2 linked regions of the Tamandua tetradactyla genome follow. The protein of the gene in region 2 binds, or shares a complex with, the protein of the main gene of each other region. Links are inferred from orthologs where the notes say so. Each region holds a gene or a part of one and is shown on either strand. Other genes may lie near its edges. The genes, in order: DKC1 and NHP2.

The links.
Region 1: NHP2 (region 2) and DKC1 share a complex: the UniProt entries of both Homo sapiens proteins name them as parts of the H/ACA small nucleolar ribonucleoprotein (H/ACA snoRNP) complex. The link is inferred for Tamandua tetradactyla from reciprocal best matches to the Homo sapiens genes NHP2 and DKC1.

What each region holds. Positions count from the first base shown.
Region 1 is NC_135353.1:1,660,222-1,669,145, forward strand, and holds the start of DKC1 (H/ACA ribonucleoprotein complex subunit DKC1), read right to left. Parts: upstream 3,975-8,924; 5' UTR 3,870-3,974; coding exon 3,854-3,869; intron 3,165-3,853; coding exon 3,100-3,164; intron 2,627-3,099; coding exon 2,540-2,626; intron 1,178-2,539; coding exon 1,086-1,177; intron 639-1,085; coding exon 454-638; intron 1-453.
Region 2 is NC_135346.1:59,724,912-59,733,295, forward strand, and holds the start of NHP2 (H/ACA ribonucleoprotein complex subunit 2), read right to left. Parts: upstream 3,408-8,384; 5' UTR 3,329-3,407; coding exon 3,169-3,328; intron 3,086-3,168; coding exon 3,016-3,085; intron 868-3,015; coding exon 762-867; intron 211-761; coding exon of another isoform or gene 166-210; coding exon 40-165; 3' UTR 1-39. UniProt on the Homo sapiens protein: Required for ribosome biogenesis and telomere maintenance. Part of the H/ACA small nucleolar ribonucleoprotein (H/ACA snoRNP) complex, which catalyzes pseudouridylation of rRNA.

The sequences.
Region 1 (8,924 bases), on a different chromosome or scaffold from region 2:
AGAAGAGTAGTCAGGTGTGGCCACTAAGTTTTCTGTATTTATATATTCTCAAGCCATTTCCATTTTGTGCTGCTAGAAAAGCAGGCAATTTGACCTCATGTTCCTATTTTTTAACTAAAAAATGATTAAATAAAGGCACTTTAGACAGAAGCAGCAGCATGGAGAAAGAGGCTAGAATAAGGCAAAAGGTACTCTCAGAAAGACCTTCTAGAGTTCTGACTTAATGCCAGGAATGTATCTCCCCAGCTTGATGTACATGTGTAGTACCTGGAACTCCAAGAAAGGGCAGACCCATGCAGATCTGGCAAAGAACAGAATGTACACAGAAACCAATAGAACATTTTGCTTTAGGAATATTTTTTCTTAATGAAGAAATAATTCCCAAGAGCCAAAATGAAGCCAGAAAGGGAAACGTAGTAAAGTACTCACCACCTCCCTCCCTCTTGCACATACCTGCACTCTGTTGTGATTTTACCAAGCGAGTGGCTCGTTCTATGCACACAATTAGACAGCCAGTCACCTTGGGATCCAAAGTACCACTGTGTCCTGTCTTCTCAACCCGAAGTATTCGTCGGATCCAGGCTACCACCTCATGGGAAGAGGGGTTGGAGGGTTTGTCGAGGTTAATGAAACCTGTCCTAGAATGGGGAATTAAAAATATATATATATATATCTTATAACAAAACAAAACTTTTTTTTATTAATTAAAAAAAGAAATAACAAAACAATTAGAAATCATTCCATTCTACATGTACAATCAGTAATTCTTAATATCATCACATAGTTGCATATTCATCATTTCTTAGTACATTTGCATCGATTTAGAAAAAGAAATAAAAAGACAACAGAATAAGAATTAAAATGATAATAGAAAGAAAAAGAAAAAAAAAAACCTATACCTCACATGCAGCTTCATTCAGTACAAAACAAAACTTTTGAAGGATAAAATAGAAATCATCACAGGTACACTATATATTAAGGGGAATGCCATTCAAAGGTACAACTACCTACTTAAAGAACTGATATAAAAATAACATTTCTAAAGGAACAAGAGTTCGAACAGTGCTTGCCCCAGATACAGATACCTGATATAGTCCGCAATCTCCCTCTTCAGAGGATTTGAACCAGAAGGAAGAGGTGTATAGTGTGTTGTCCTTACATTCAGCTTATCAAAATTCTAGAAAGCAACAATACAACACAAAATAAACTTCATGGTTCTATAGTTCTTGTTTTGGAACCATTAACACGTATAAAACGGAAAGTCAGCACCAGCAAGCAACCACGATATAACCCTCAAAGTTCATAACTTGAATTTTTGTTCTTTGTTTTTCATCATCTGCCATGGCAGACTGTTAAGCCTTCTTAAATACAGGAAAAATGACCCACGTTAGTAAGAACAAGGTAGAGCTGATAACTCAAAATTTAATATATTGCTCTAGAAAGTGGTCAGTACTCCGTGGGTACAGAACATAGACTGGGCAAACTTATGGATAAAATACAGAGGAACTTTGACCTTCTTGGGAGGTGGGTAGGAATAACCAAATTTAGGATTATTGGCAATAATGTTTCCAGTAATAACCATCCTGTCCCTGCTTCAGATGCTCTTACCTCTGCTCTTCACAGATCACCCTAGCTGAACTACCTGACTCCAATCCAAGCCCATCTTTCACATTATCCAATTTGGTTTCATCATGGTACTTATCACAAATAGAATTATTTCTTGTGTAACTCCCACACCCTCAATTTTAAGTTCCCCAATAGAGGACTGTGCCTATCACCTTCACCAACATATTCTCAGGGGGCCTACAAAAGAGAAGCAGATGTTGTCTAAATAGCAGAAACATCTAGCCAAGCAGAAATTGACTGAACTACCCTATTTAAAACTAATTAATAGACAATACTTTCTACAGGACACACTAGTTGCCAGGCACTGGAGATAAACATATTTCATGCATTACCTCCTGTAATCCTCAGCAAATCTTCCTAAAATAATTATTGTGAGCAGAAGAGATTAAATGACTAGTCCAAGGTCACACAGCCTGACTGACTCATTGCTCTTGTGCTCTTAAATACAAGAGTAATGTTATTCAAAGTGTGGTCCACAAAGTGTTGTAGGTCCTTAAGATGGATTAAGTAGAGAAAGTTACAGGTAAGTATTTAGAAACTGTGATAGGAGTTTAACATTGCTGTGATATTTTAATTATATTCTAGAAGAGTACTCAGTATACTGGAAATTCAAAAAAAAAATCTGGTCCATTATCTTAGATACCTGGAGGAGCACTGCCTTAAACTAAATCGTTTTGCATTCCCTAGAAGTCAAAGAGTAAGCATTTTTGCTTTCAAGAAATGAAACGCAGTGGAGAAGACTGATGGTACAGAAAGTGGTACAGACAGGGGCTCAAGGACACGCAATGGCCACATGGAGAAGATAAAAGTATGTATGAGATCACGGGAAGTAGCCAAGTGTTGGTTTCGTAACATACTTATACCTTTATTTTGCTGTGTAACAAAGCCCATATGCCTGATCTTGACCACGTACCTTCAACAGCAGGGGCCACTGAGATGTGTCCAACTGAGCCACTTTGGATTCAGGTTTGATAAGAAATTCTTCTACGTGTTGAATTTCCTTTGACAGAACAGAAACACACACTGTTACATCTCTCACCTGATCTTTAGAAATTCCATTACTAGTACAGAAGTATACGCCTTTTAAATAGAAAGCAAGGCATTCTATACTTCTTCACTGGGGCCTCCAAGGGAGAAAGAAAGAGAAGAAGCAGAAACTCCGAAAAAGAAATGAAGTATCACTAAGATAGGTCCAAATGTTTAAAGAAAACAGGAGATGAAGGGTGTGTGGGTGGAGTTGGGAAGAAAGAGTGATAGGGAGATAATCTGGTATAGCCAACTGCAGTTAGTAAACCAGCATGAAACTTAGGGTGGCTAAGGGGGGGGGGGGCATTCTCATTTTCAGTCCCTTGGGATTTCTATGCAAAGAGCATCCAATTCTGGCCCATCTCTTAGATATTTGAAAAACAGTTCTTGAGTTTGTTAGTTAAGTAAAATTTTAGTTTAACCAAAATAACACATATTCCTACTCACAGCTACATCTTCTGGTGCTGACTTTCGGTCCTTCTTCTTCTTATGCTTCTTTGGCAAAATAACTACTAAAAAAGATACACGAGATTTGGAAGTTTCCCCCGAAAATAAAGACATCCAAGTTTAAAACGAAAAAGTGGAAATCGGGGCAGGCGAATACAGATTTTCCATCTAAGAGTAGTGCTGAGGACAAAAGCTATACCATGGTACTCCGCATGGGTTGGTAACTAGCTGGCGGCTGTCGCACGTGTTGGGGCCCCTTCCGGGTCACCACGTGGCCATGGCGGGGCTTAAAAATCGCAGAGGAGCGCTCGCTGTCCCGAAACTTCCAAAGCGTCCATTGGGCTAGCCCTGCCAGCTTGTAGTCTCGGGGACTTTCTTGCACCTGGGAGCTGGCCTCGCGCCCAAAGCCCTCCGGCCCCTTTCTTCCCCACCCGTCCACCCCCCTCCAGCCCGCATCCCGCGGCGCCCGAACCTGGGTGCGGCCAGCACATCTTCTGTTTGCAACCAAGTGCCCTAAGGAGGTCTTCCCGTTAGCGGGGGGCCCGGGCCCCGCAGGGTCACGTCACCGAAAGGGCCTCTAGGTCCTGCGCTCTCCCCGCAGGTGAAGCAACGTGCGGAGCGGGAGGCGAGGCCCGCAAGAGGCCCGGGAGTGGGTCCCCGGCAGTGAGTCACCGACGCCGCTCCCCCGGCTCTCCGAGTCCGCAGAGTTCCCTCTGACCCCGGAGACCCCGGCCCGGCCGTCCGCAGCCCTTACCTTCGGCGTCCGCCATGTTTCCCCGCACAACGTGCGCGCCGCCCGGGCTATCGCGGAGGTAACGACCGCCGAGTCCCGCCGACCGGGTCTCGTCAGTCCGCGCCGACAGGGCCCACCCACCCGCGCGCCGTCCCTTACGTGCAGCGCCGAGGGGCGGGGCGGGGCCCTGGACGCGTGCAGACCGCCTGAGCGGTCCCATTGGCCAATTCGGCCCCTGCGGGCGGCGCGTGCGCGCGGGCGCCTCGGGCCTCGCCCCTCCTTCCACGGCCCGGGCCGGGGGGCGCTTAGGGAGGCGCGCCCGGGGCGGCCCGGAGCCTGTGGGCTCGACCTCTGCGCCCCCCTCGCTCGGTCCAGCCCGCGCGGCCGCCCCTGGGCTGTGTGCGAGACGCTCTGTCAATATTACCTCACCGCTTCCTCGGGCCCACAGCCCCCGTTACAAAATAAGGAAATAAGCAGAGAGGCGGTGAGGCCCCCGCGCCTCACTTGACCGTCGGCCCCGAGCGGCGCTGAAGAGAATGCGAGCCGCGTGGGGGCCCGGGAACAGAAACAAGTGACAGTCATTTTAATAATGCGTCGCACTTAACCCAGTGTATCCGGAATATTACCACTTCAGCGTGTAGTCGGTGCGAAACATTAGAATAAGGTATTTTACATCCTTTATTTTCTTCCCCCGTATCAAGTCTTCGAATCCCTTACGGCACCCCCTTAATTCGGACCAGGCCCGTAGCGGGTGGTCTCGGTGTACTGCGAGGGGTGCTGTGTCAAAGCCACAAGCTGCTAAACTCAGCTGTCCACCTATCCTGCCCGCACCCTAGCACCCTGCTGCGGAAGCTACAAGTCCCGTCGCGCAGACAGTCTCAGGCGGCAGCCCAGCCCTCAGCGCTACCTGGCGCTCCTGCTGACGCCGCACTCTCCCATGAGGCGCTCCTCACCTGTTCCTCCAACCGCCAACACACCTGGCACTCAACTGATGATGACCTGGCTCTATTAAGAACGAAAGCAATCACAAGAGGATCTCCACGCAGGCTTTTCTACCATATCTATCTAACAACCCACCCACCAGTTACCAAAGATATTTTGCCTTTCCTCCCTTATCCCTGAATGAATGAAACACCCATGCCCTTAACTCAGGCCAGCCCCTCCATTTCACCCAGATCCCAAGCCCTTTTGCTTACTCAGTACATTGCTCCAGCAATTCCCCTTTCTGTTTCCCGTATCATCAACTTCTGCCTCTCTACCAAAGTGGGGTTACATTACCTGGGGAGGTGACCTCGCTCCCCCCACCCCACCCCCAGCCAAGCTGTCGAAAGTTTACAGTATTAGGAGGAGTCTGTGGAGGGGATGTAGTTTGGAGTTGCTGGAGAGTCTAGCGATTAGGATGAAAAGGTGAGAGGTTATGCTGTAAGAACACAATCCTAGAGAATGATCTCTTAGTTAGAGCCTGTTCAAAAATGTACCTCCACCCTCCCGCCCTGCGGGCATGAGTTAAAGATTGCTGCCATCACAGGGGCCTGTGGTTCAGAGATCGCAAGTTCAAGATAATATTGCATTCCACCAAGTGGAGAGCAGGTGAACTGCCAGAGGCACTAAGTCCTCAGCAGGGAACTTATAGGGGTTAAGGCAGGGCCCACATGGACCCGGCCAGAAATGCAATGGAGCTCTTGTCCTTGTCCTTGTCCGGATGGTTATCTGCCTGCTAGAGGGGTTGATCTTATCCAATAATCAACATTTCCATTCTCACTCAGCAGCTTCAGAGCTGCCTCTTCTGTGACTTACACACTCTGGAGCTGCAGGAAGGGGGTTTCCCAACTCATGGGCCCCTGGACTAAGGGTGTAATCTACCCATGCAGGTGGGTAGTTAGTGGTGGTGAAGCCCTTCCATCTCTGGTTCACCTGGCTTCATTTTAGGAGCTTGGGGGACAAGTTACAAGCAGGGACACCTACAGGTCCTTTTTTTCCCTCAGTTCTTCACAGCCTTCACTTCCACTGCTGTCGCTAGGGAGCACCTTGCCTCAACTGCTTGTCATGGGAACACAGGTTCAGGGCCTAAGAGAAACTTTCAGCAAATGATCCCTTTATTACTTGCACAGAATAAAGAGTCCAGAAAGGGTGAATAGTCTCCTTGTTTTCACAGCACAAAGAGTCTATGAGCAGGGGAAGAAGTCCCCTCACAGCCAGTCCCCTCTGGGTGGCCAAAAGCTGTTCCAGGTAGGTGTTGACAGATGGCTGTCCCACATGCCCCACTTCATGCCAGAGAAGAGAGACCCACTTGTACTGTTTGAATGTGGGTTTTATTCACCTCAGGAGGAGGGGGCTTGCCACTGAGAATTCCTATTCTGACGGGCATCTGGAGCTGCTGGTTCCCAGTTTCTGGGTGTTAAGTCTGACTAGGTTCTAGAATGTCACACAGTGAAAAAGGAAGTGGAGGGAGCAGAAGCCCATAGGTACAATGGCTACTTAAAGTGTGTTCCTGACTTTCCCAGAGAGGGAGGTGAGGATAGGTGAGGCTGGGGCTGAGGTCACTTAACAGGTATCAGTGACTTCCCTAACAACCCCCTGCAGATGGAGATGGCTGCTTCCAGCAACATTTTACATGTCCATTGGTCCCTTTGGACACTTGCTTCCCTTGGCTTCCAGGACATCCTACTCTCTTGGTTCCCCTTTGACCTCACTGGCCACTCCATCTCAAGCACCTTCCCTGACTCCTCCTTGTCACCCCAAGCGTTTAATGTCAGAGTGCACCAAGGCTTATTCCTTGGCCCTTTCCTTTAGCTGTACCTTGCTGTGTTGGTGATCTCATCGAGGCCCATGTCTTTAAATGGCAATGACTCACCAAATCAGATCCCCAGCCCAGACCTCTTCCCTAATCTCCAAACGTGTCTATTTGGCCTCTTGTTCAATATCTTCATCTGGATATCTAAAAGGCACCTCAAACATGAAGTGTCCGTAACTGGGCTCCTGATACTCTACCCAAACCTAGTTCTCCTCTGGGTTTCTTCATCTCAGTAAGTAGTAGCTCCATTCTTGCAGTTGCACAGACAAAATAGTGTCAGAGTCATCCTCCATTCCTCTCTTTGTTGCACACTCCTCATTCAGTCTGTTAGCAAGCCCAGAATCAGACCGCTTTTCACCACCCTCGCTGCTGTCACTAAGGCCCCTGCTGACATTGTGGCTCTCTGAGATTTTTCCAGTGGCCTCCTGACAGGTCCCCCCATTTCTGCCTTTCCAACCTACTGTGTCTTCTCAATGCAGCAGCCCAAAAGAGTCAATAAACTTAAGTCATATTCTTCCTCTGCTCAAAGCTCCACATTTCACCAAGAGTAAAAGTCAAAGTCCCAATAATAGCTGACAGAATGTGCCCCCAGTTCTCTTTCTGAATTCAGGTCTGGCTACTCGTACCCCCACGTTGGTCTTTTGGCTGTTCATGTCTATTCCAGGCACACTCCCCACTTTCTGGGCTTTTGTACCTGCTCTTCTTTCTGCCTTGCATGCCCTGCCACCAGATATTCACATTCCTCTAACCCCCACCCCACCCCAATATCTAAAGACCTATGACTACAATTCATCTCTACATTCACTAAGGGAACAATTACAAAGACAAATGTAGTAGGAGTAAGCCTGCATATCAAAAGAGTAGTAGAATACTAATATGTAACAGGAAATATCTAGACAATATTAATGCAATTGTAATTTGAAAGTGTTTGACCCACCAGGAAAAAATGGAATTTTATAGGAGGGTCAGGATCTACAGTGGAGGTTTATGTAGAGGTGATGCCTAGACCAAGAAGCCTGCAAGGGAATTATCCCAGACATTTCACAGCGATGGATAGGTTTAAGTGATGACAAACAATTAGTACCTGATTTGTTAGTAACATGCTGTAGGCTAGTAGATTCCCAGTCCAGATTATTAATAGGATTCTGATTGTCTTTTCACCACATCTGGCCAGACAACCAAAACAAAAGTCCTACACTTCTCTGAGAATTATCACATGGGAGGCTTTACTTACAGTACTAAGTCCAGAGTCAGTTAGAAATGTTTCATTTGCAAGTGAAAGAAACTGACTCTTGCTGTCTTAACGGTATATGTATATATGCGGGGGAGGGTTGGAGAGAATGAGAATGAGCATGTGAATGGATGAGTGAACATTGAAGGTTAGCCTCAAAATTGCTTATGGCTCATCACTTACTCCTTTCTTCCACACCACTGTTTTAGTTTGCTAGGCTACTCAAAGCAGATGCCATGAGATGGATTGATTTAATTAACAGGAATTTATTAGCTCACAGCTTGAGATGAAGAAAATGTACAAATCAAGGCATGATCAAAGCAATGCTTTCTTCCCAAACACTGGCTGCCAGCAATCCTTGGCTCCTCTGCCACATGACAAGGGACAGGGCGGCATCTGCTGGTCTCTCCCTTCTCTTCAGGGTTTCATTACTTTCAGCTTCCTGTTTCTATATCATTCCATTTATAAAGGACTCCAATAAGAGGATTAAGATCCATCCTGAATGAGGTGGGTCACACCTAACTAAAGTAGCCTGATCAAAGGATCCTACGTACAATGGGTTCAACCAGAGAAATAGATTAGATTTAAGAACATCTCTTTCTGGGGTACATACAGCTTCAAAGCACATAACCACCAAACAAAGATATATCATTATATGAGACTTTAGTGAAGGACTGGGGCGATAAAAACAGAAAATTACTTTTTTTTTGTTTTTTTGCATGGGCAGGCACCAGGAATCGAACCCGGGTCTCCAGCGTGGCAGGCAAGAATTCTTTCACTGAGCCACCATCACACCGCCCAGAAAATTACATTTTTTTAAAGAAGTAAATTTAAAACAATACCTTCAAATATGCTTTCCCTGTAAAATCGTCATATAGTGTCCCTTAATAGATGCCTTTTAGTTCCTCACCTGCTCTTCTGCCCTCAGGTTCTATAGGGCTATGACTGTTCTTTACAATGTTTCACTGGTCACACATGGTAAGCTCTGTTAGTTGGTGACCCAACAGCCATTTCTTTCCCTTTCTCCCTTTCTAGCAGTTACCCATTTTGTGCAGGTTGGCACTAAA
Region 2 (8,384 bases):
ACCGCTTCCAGAGCAGGTTCACAGGTGGTTGCCCGAGTCTCACAGGGGCGGGGGCAGGGCCTGGACCTCCTCGAGGCACTCATCGTAGGCCTCCTGGTAGTCCTCGTGGGGCTTGACCATGATCACACAGGTGGGGCGCTTGGAGCCAGCGGCCGCCCCCAGGTCCTACAGAGAACGGGGAGAGAAAGGCTGGGGGAAATGCCGCACAGCCTGTACACCAGAAGTCACAACTGATGACCCCAGGCCTAATATGGCCCAAATTGTCCTACTGGGTCCGTATTATGCTCAAAAGCATTTTGAATTGGTTGCCACTTTTTAAACTCAGCAAATTTTCAAGTCACATCTCCATAGGGCAGAGCCTATGTTCTCCAGTCCCCACCACCCCTAACTCTGCGGCACTCCAGCTCTGGCCCTGCTACGTAAAGATAAGGACAGCTGCAGCTTCCCAAAATACTGAAACACCTAACAGGGCTCACACTTGTGCCACATTTTAATTTGGAAAGCATACACACTCGAGTCTACTGGTTTTCAGTCTCACAGTCCACACAGGAATAGATTCTGATTTTATGAGGAGGAAACTAAAGTGCAGGAAGGTAACTTATTTTCGGTTCCACAACTAAGCAGCAGCAGAGCCAAGCACTGATCCAGAACTCTCCTGACTCCAGAGCTTGTGTCCTTTTCCACAATAGCCTAGTGCCACAGTCCAGGTCCCAGACCCCCTCCCAGTGCCAACAAACGTTGGAGGGTGCTGTGCTTCTCACCGTCTTGGAGGGAATGTAGACGTAGGGCATATCCCGGTCCTCACACATCACCGGGAGATGGCAGAATACCTCAATGGGCAGTGTGTCTCCTGCCAAAACCATGATCCTGAGAAGAAAGAAAACACTGTCATTTCTAGCCTGCTCTTTTTTCAGCCCTTCAGTGCTGCCTCTGGGTTGGGCCTTGGGGTTACAGCTCAGAATAAAGTGCCTCTGTCCTCAAGGAACCCATAGTCATTAATGGGGATGTCTACAGTCCTCGAAAGTGGGAGAAAAACAGTGTGTTTGGGTGAGTGCATTCTGGGGGAGATGATCTCTATTTTTTAACTACAGATTCAAATGTATCTCTAACCTAAGAAATAGTTTAGGTCTGACCTAAGACCCACTGATTCAGTGGGAGGTGACATGGCAACAAGTAAATGCCACCAAGTGTGACAAGTGGTAAAGTGACAGAGTATGGCAGGGGCACAAAGGAGTAAGTAATTCTCTTTGGAAAGTCAGACAAGGCTTCAGCCAGGGGCCAGCACTTGAACCAAGGCTGAACGAATGAATGGCAGGCAGCTCATGGGGGATGCAGAGTGCGAGGAAGACATTAAGGCGAAGAGAAGCAGAATGGTACGATACAGCATGGAGGCTGCTGGCAGCCTGGATGGCTTTGAAATCCAGGATGGGGATGAGGTGGGCAGTAGCCAAGAATGCTAGACAGCAGGCAGGCGCCATACCAACGGCCTTGAGTGCCAGGACACCACTAAAGGCTTGTCTGAGAATCCTCAGCTAGGGTTCCTAGCTGGCCAGGTTGGGCTCTGGGCCAAGGACCTCCGGAGCCCTGAAGACAGATGAAAGAATCTGTTCTCCAAGGGTGGGTGAAAGGCAGGCAGGAGAGAAGCCCAGCTCAGAGCACTGCTTCAGTGTCCTGTTTGCCTTCTGCTTCTTGGGCTCTGTTCCTCTGCAGGATTCTCTTCCTTTAAGTACCTTTGAAATGTTGGTAATCCTCACAGCCTGGTCTCCGACTGCCCTGTGTCACTTAACACCTTCTCCCTGGCCGACGTGATCCTCAGCCATGGCATCAGTGCCATCTATGTACTGACAACCCCCAAATCTGTTTTCTCCAGACCAGCTGTCACTCCCATATAACCAATCCCATATAACAATCTGCCTACTGTCTCAAAGGCACCGCAAAAACTTGTCTAAAACCAAACACTATCTCCTCACTCTTCATATACTAAAGTTATTTCAAATCCATCTACCTGAATTCTCACCATCTGCATCCCATCACCAGCCTAATCAAAATCACCCTTACCTTTTCTGGATTGAAGTAGCCTCCAGTTTTCTCACATCTATTCCTGCCTCTCTAATTTTTTCTTTTCTCAGTTGCCAGGAAAATCTTGAACTGTAAACATACTTAGGGTACTACCTAGCTGTACCACTTTAATGGTCCACCTAATGCACAGAGTACAAGAACCAAATTCCTGACTGTGGCTTACAGGGACTCATGAGAAGATAGGACCTCTGCCCACCTCAGCTCTCTCCTGCCCTAGACTTTTATACAGAATCCTCTTCTGCTGGAACAACCCTCCCACCACTGGTTAATCCCCGTCCTCAGATCTCAGCTCAAATGTGAATTGTCAGGGAAACTCGCTGATGCACCTATCTCAACCCCAAGTAGGGCAGATTCCTATCTGAACATCACCCCCTCCCCCCCCCCCCCCCACACACACACAGCATTTTATCTTGGGCATCTATTGGGTCAGACACTGGGGATAAAGAGGCCCTGGTTTCAAGGGGCCTGCAGTCCTATGTGGGAAGGAAGGGAATGAAAATGTAAATAAGTACCACAGGTTCTGATAAATGCCGTAAGATAAGCAGGGCGATGATGTCATTCTCACTGCACCCTGTACGTTTCCTTCACGGTTATCACAATTTGTAATTACTTTTGTGCATGCGATTATTCGATCAGTGTTTCATCCCCACAGTCAGGTGCCAGACAAGAAAAGGATGCCCAATAAATAGTCGCCGAATGAATGAAGCTGGGGTCTACTCTGAGTCCGTGTCAACAACGGGCTTCCCTCCGGAGTCCACTGTCCCTTTGAGCTCGTATAAGTGATTATCGGAATCTGTACTGCAGGGGATTCGTCGGCTGCTTTATCTTCTGCATATGGGGCTGAGTCAGAACCGATTTAGGAATATCCTTCTATTAAGCCGTAAGGGTTTCCCTCTATCTAGACTTGACAAATCCGGCGGGGAGGGGAATCCTTACCCTTTTTCGCCTTTGTTGATAAATTTCTGAACCTCCTTTACCCCGCGCCGAATCTGCTTCTGCTTCACGGCTGTAATGACAGGGCGGTTCAGCCAGGAGCTCTCGCCCCGCCAGACTCGCTCGCGTCCCGGCCGGACCCCGACCCCGGCATACCTTTCTTTATGCATTTGTAGAGCTTCCGCGTGAGTCGGCGAGAAGCCAGGGGCTGCGCGATGGGGTTCAGGTTGACCAGCAGCTCATGGTAGGTGCGCTCCCCGGCGCACGCCTCGGCTTGAGCCTCCGGCCGGTCGGGATCCGGCTTTATTTTGGTCATGGCAGCGGCCGGGGCACTCGCCCAGTCCGGGTAGTCGGGAGGCGAATCCACGCGGCGGGCCGCTAAAGGAATCACTTCCGGGTCAGCCCGCGGTGCGCGAGGCCGGCAGGCCACGACAACCAATCGGAAGCGAGCACCTCCGACGCAGGCCAATCGCTGACGCTCAGTGGCGGAGCTAGGGCAGCGGCTGGAGTCTTGGCGGGGAGGCGGGCCGGGCCGGCGTCCTATGGGACAGGAGGGAAAGGGACCGCGGCTTCCGCCGTCCTGAGAGTTCCCGCGTCGCGGCTACGGTGGCCGAAGGAAGCGGCCGTTCCTGTGGGGGCGTGGCTACGACCGGGGGGCGGCCCTGGCGGAAGAACAGGCTCCCCAACGGCCCTGGGAGGTGCGCCCCAGGTGCTGGACGTTAGGGCCGAAGACCGACGCTGCTAACGCGTTCTTCCGTTTTGGCATCATTTCTCCTACGTGCTCCCTCTCTGAGGAACCCGGATGCACAGCTCCGGAAGAACCCAGAGCAAGGGATCACTGGCGCCTAGGTCTGGAGCTCTTTCCTCCAGAGCGCGCCGCGGCTCGCCCGTTCTCTTCCAGCACCTTCTGCCCACGTATTTCCCCGTGGGAGAGGCTCCCGTCTGAGCCCGTTATCTAAAACTGCAGCCCCCCACCAGCATCCCCCAGCCCTGTATGTTCCTCCTGGTTCTTACCACTGCCTGCCTTTACCCAGGAGTGGGGCTGAGACCGAGTTGGGGCTGATGGGGAAGGCAGCTGACGTGCAGCCTTGGCCCCTGGGAGCGAAACGCACGCGAGGCTAACATAGGGTAAGGGAGGCAGATCTGAGAAGACAGACCAGTTCGGATGTAGCTGTGGAGAACTGTGGATCGCGATGCCAAGGGTGGATCTCGTCATCACTGATAAATCTCTTTGATCTTGTGGAATGCTAGATGGCTATTAACTGATGCAAAGTAATTGCCTTTGCTTATGCGGTGTAGGTCCTTCATTTGTGTGGTGCAATAAGGGGTCAGGAAGCACAACTTTAGAAGTGGGTGGGTGGCAGTGGGGGTGGCGGGTTATTTAAGCCAACGTGTCCAATTTAAAGATGGACTTTTTCATTTTCTTCGCTTTGAAATTGCATGAGAAGAGAGGCCTCTCCCAGAGCTTTAGAAACACTGAGTTACTGCCAACTTTCACCTTACTAGAGACGATTTTGCAGTACCATTTCTCATCCCAAACCCTCCCCTGTCCTCCTACCTCCTATGTGGCAGCAATTCTGATCCTCCCTGGGCAACTCTTTCCAGTGGAATGCAGGGCCTGAGACCAGCCTTGTGGCAGGGCTCCATGGAGTGGTTTTCTATTACCATTTCCCAGGATAAACTGCATAGCGGTTTTCTGTTCGTGTTTCGAAGGGATTTTCTTGTACACAATTTGAGCCTTGTAGATCTGGTGTGAAAATGTACCATGGTCACAAAGGTGATAAGTGCTGCCAAGTGTGCACACAGGGTGTTCTAGTTTGCTAGCTGCCAGAATGCAACACACCAGAAACGGAACGGCTTTTAAAAGGGGGGATTTAGTGAGTTGCTAGTTTATAGTTCTAAGGCCGAAAAAATGTCCCAATTAAACCAAGTCTATAGAAATGTCCAATCAAAGGCATCTGGGGAAAGATACCTTGGTTCAAGAAGGCCAATGAAGTTCAGGGTTTGTCTCTCATCTGGAAAGGCACATGGCGAACACAGTCAGGGCTTCTCTCTCAGCTGGAAGGGCACATGGCGAATATGGCGTCATCTGCCAGCTTTCTCTCCTGGCTTCCTATTTCATGAAGCTCCCCGGGAGGTGTCTTCCTTCTTCATCTCCAAAGGTCACTGGCTCGTGGACTCTCTACTTCGTGGTGCTGCAGCATTCTCTGCTCTCTCTGAATCTCTCATTCTCTGAAATATTTCCTTTTTTATAGGACTCCAATAAACCAGTCAAGACCCACCCAAATGGGTGGAGACATGTCATCCCTTAATCCAGTTTAACAACCACTCTTGACTAAATCACATCAACCAGGGAGATGATCCAATCACAGTTTCAAACATACAGTGTTGAATAGAGATTATTCTACCTTATGAAATTAGACTTATATTAAAACATGGCTTTTCTTAGGGGGCACACTTCCTTTCAAACCAGCACACAGGGCATGATATGGACTGTTTGTCCAGTGACGTGATAGAGAAATCCATCCCTGAGAAACCCAATTCAAACAAATACTGTTGAGTCCTTGGCCTCTTCGGCTGTGAGGACCATTCAGGTCTTATAGGGAAGGAGGAATGAAATTAACATTTTGTGCCAAGGGCATTACATAAAATAGCTCATTCAATGCTCATGAAAACTACCATTATTATTCACGATATACTGAGGCTCAGAGAGGTGAGTCACTAGTTCCAGCTCACACAAAGCTGAACTTGATACAGCCAGGAGGCTGTTCTGAGGGCTACTCTTAACACAAGCTTCCCAAATCCCAACCACTCCTATTAACCCTAAAGAATACTAGAACACTATCTGAAATTCTACAAAAGTTTCATGCACTAAAATTGCTTTCCAGATACCTATAACCTTCAGATGGGTTCCTAGGCCAGGTAAATTCTGAAACCCAGAGGGGCCAGCCCCTCCAAGAACATTAAATAGTTCCATCCCTCTATCCATTCCATCCCCCTTTCCAACATGAAAAAGTTAGAATGGGCATAACCCAAATACCCCTAAAGATTGAGAGAAGAATCAAAGGAGGAGGAGTTATAACAGAGAAAATAGGATTTAACAAATGAGTATGATTGCTGAATCATTATATCAATATTTCTTTTAGTCTCCCATGTCTTGGAGAAGCTGGAAGAAAATCCTAATATTGTGGAATGGTAACCCATACTAAACTGAAATCTGTTTTATAACTTGTATATAATGTACTTTGAAATTTATTGCTTTTTTGTATCTATGTTATATTTCACACAAAAAAAGTTTTTTTTAAAAAAAGTTGAATTTGAGTCCAAGTCCACCTATTTGAAAGCTCAGATTCTCCCCACCCATGTAAACTGGTGTTTGACTTCAGCTCAAAGGATGTGAAACATGGCTCCACTGTGAAAGTGAAGGACCCTCAACCTGGCTACAAGTGTCACAAGTGTCAGCATCTTAAACCAAGAGACAATGATATACCAAGAACAAATGTCTCCTCAGTAAACCACACTGTGTATTTCTAAAGCCAGCCTCAGTGACCTATGCTGATTCCAAGATGGCTTGTGTAACTTTATCAATTTTATTGTTAAAATGTATTGCTCACTTGAGATTCATAGAACCTGCCACGCAGGAGACCCGGGTTTGATTCCCGGCTTATGCACTTTCCCAAACAAGCAAAGAAAGAAAGAGAAAACAAACAAAAATTCAACAAATGGTGCTGCAATAACGAGATGCACACATGGAAAAAGAATGAAATATGACCCCGGGTATATAGCATACAAAAAAAAAGCCATTGGATCAAAGGGAGAGATGTTTATTTGGCACAAAATTTATATTTTAGGTCATAGTGCATTACCTAATTTAACTTGTCTGGTCAGTTTAGGTGAACACTATAAGTACATGGAATCTTGAGTAGGATGTAAGATTTTGTTGGTTTGTCAGGTTAATGTGATATTCTAATACATTCCAGAGTAATTTGGGCAGTGAATAAGGAAATATTTCCAAAGTCCCCTTCTGGGACTGGGAGGAAAGGAGGAAATATTCAACTTTCCCATTTGGAGAATTTCTGATATTCTTGCAATCAGTGGGGACAACCAAATCAATAGACCAAGCCCTCGATCTTGGGGTTCGCCCCTTTGAAACTTATTCCTGCAAAGGATAGGCTAAGCCTACATAAAATTAGGCCAAAGAGTCATGGGAGAGGCCATTTCTTCTCATGCAATTCCAAAGCAAAAAAAATGAAAAAGCAACAGTAGGTAAAAATTTGCTAGAGAGGTTGAAGAACAGCTGTCAGTAGAAAGAGTCACTGAACTTGAGGATAAGGCAATTGAAGTCATCCTGTCTGAGGAGCAGAAAGAATGAGGAAAAGTGAACAGCTCATGAGGAAGTTGTGGGACACCATCAAGCATACCAATTTATGCGTTTGAAAATCCCAGAAGAAGAAAGGAGAGAAAGGGGCAGAAAGAATATTAAAAAAAATAGTGGCTCAGGGCGGGGCTGCTGTGGCTCAGCAGGCAGAGTTCTCGCCTGCCATGCCAGAGACCCGGGTTTGATTCCCGGTGCCTGCCCATGCAAAAAAAATAAATAAATAAAGAGTGGCTGAAACTTCCCAAATTTAATAAGAAACATGAATATTCATATCCAAGATGCTCAATGAACTCCAAATAGGGATAAGCCCAAATAGACACATACCACATGTAATTAAACAGTCAAATGCCAAAGATAGAGAATTCTGAAAGCTGAGAAAAGCAACTTGTCAAATACAAAGGAGTCTCAATAAAATTAAGTGCTGATCTCTCATGAAAACCATGACAGCAGCAAGGCAGTGGGATGACATATTCAAAGTGCTGAGAGCAAAAAACTGCCAACCAAGAAGTCTATATCTGGCAAAACTGTGTTTCAATAAATAGGGAGAGAAAAAAAATGAGGGAGAGATGAAAACATTCCCAGAGAAACAAAAGCTGAGGGAGTTTGCCGCCACTAGACTGACCCTCTAAAAGCTGCTAATGAGAGCTGGAAGGAAAGAACAATGGATCAATAGATCACAGCACAGGAAGAAATAAAGATCTGCAGTGAAGGTAATGACATGGGTAAGTAGAAATGCCACTACTGTTGATTTTAGGTTAGTAACTTCACCTTTTTACTTCCTGCAGGATCTTAAGAGGTATGAGCATAACCTTTAAGGTATAGGCATAACATGTAATGAGAACTCAGTGGTTTTAGACTCATATGGTATAACATGCAATTTGTGACAAGAACTATATAAGCGTGAGGGTATAGAGGGGCACAAGAGCACAGTTTGTGTACACTAATGAAGTTAAATTGGTATCAAAGCAAATGTGATTGTTGCAGATTTAGAATG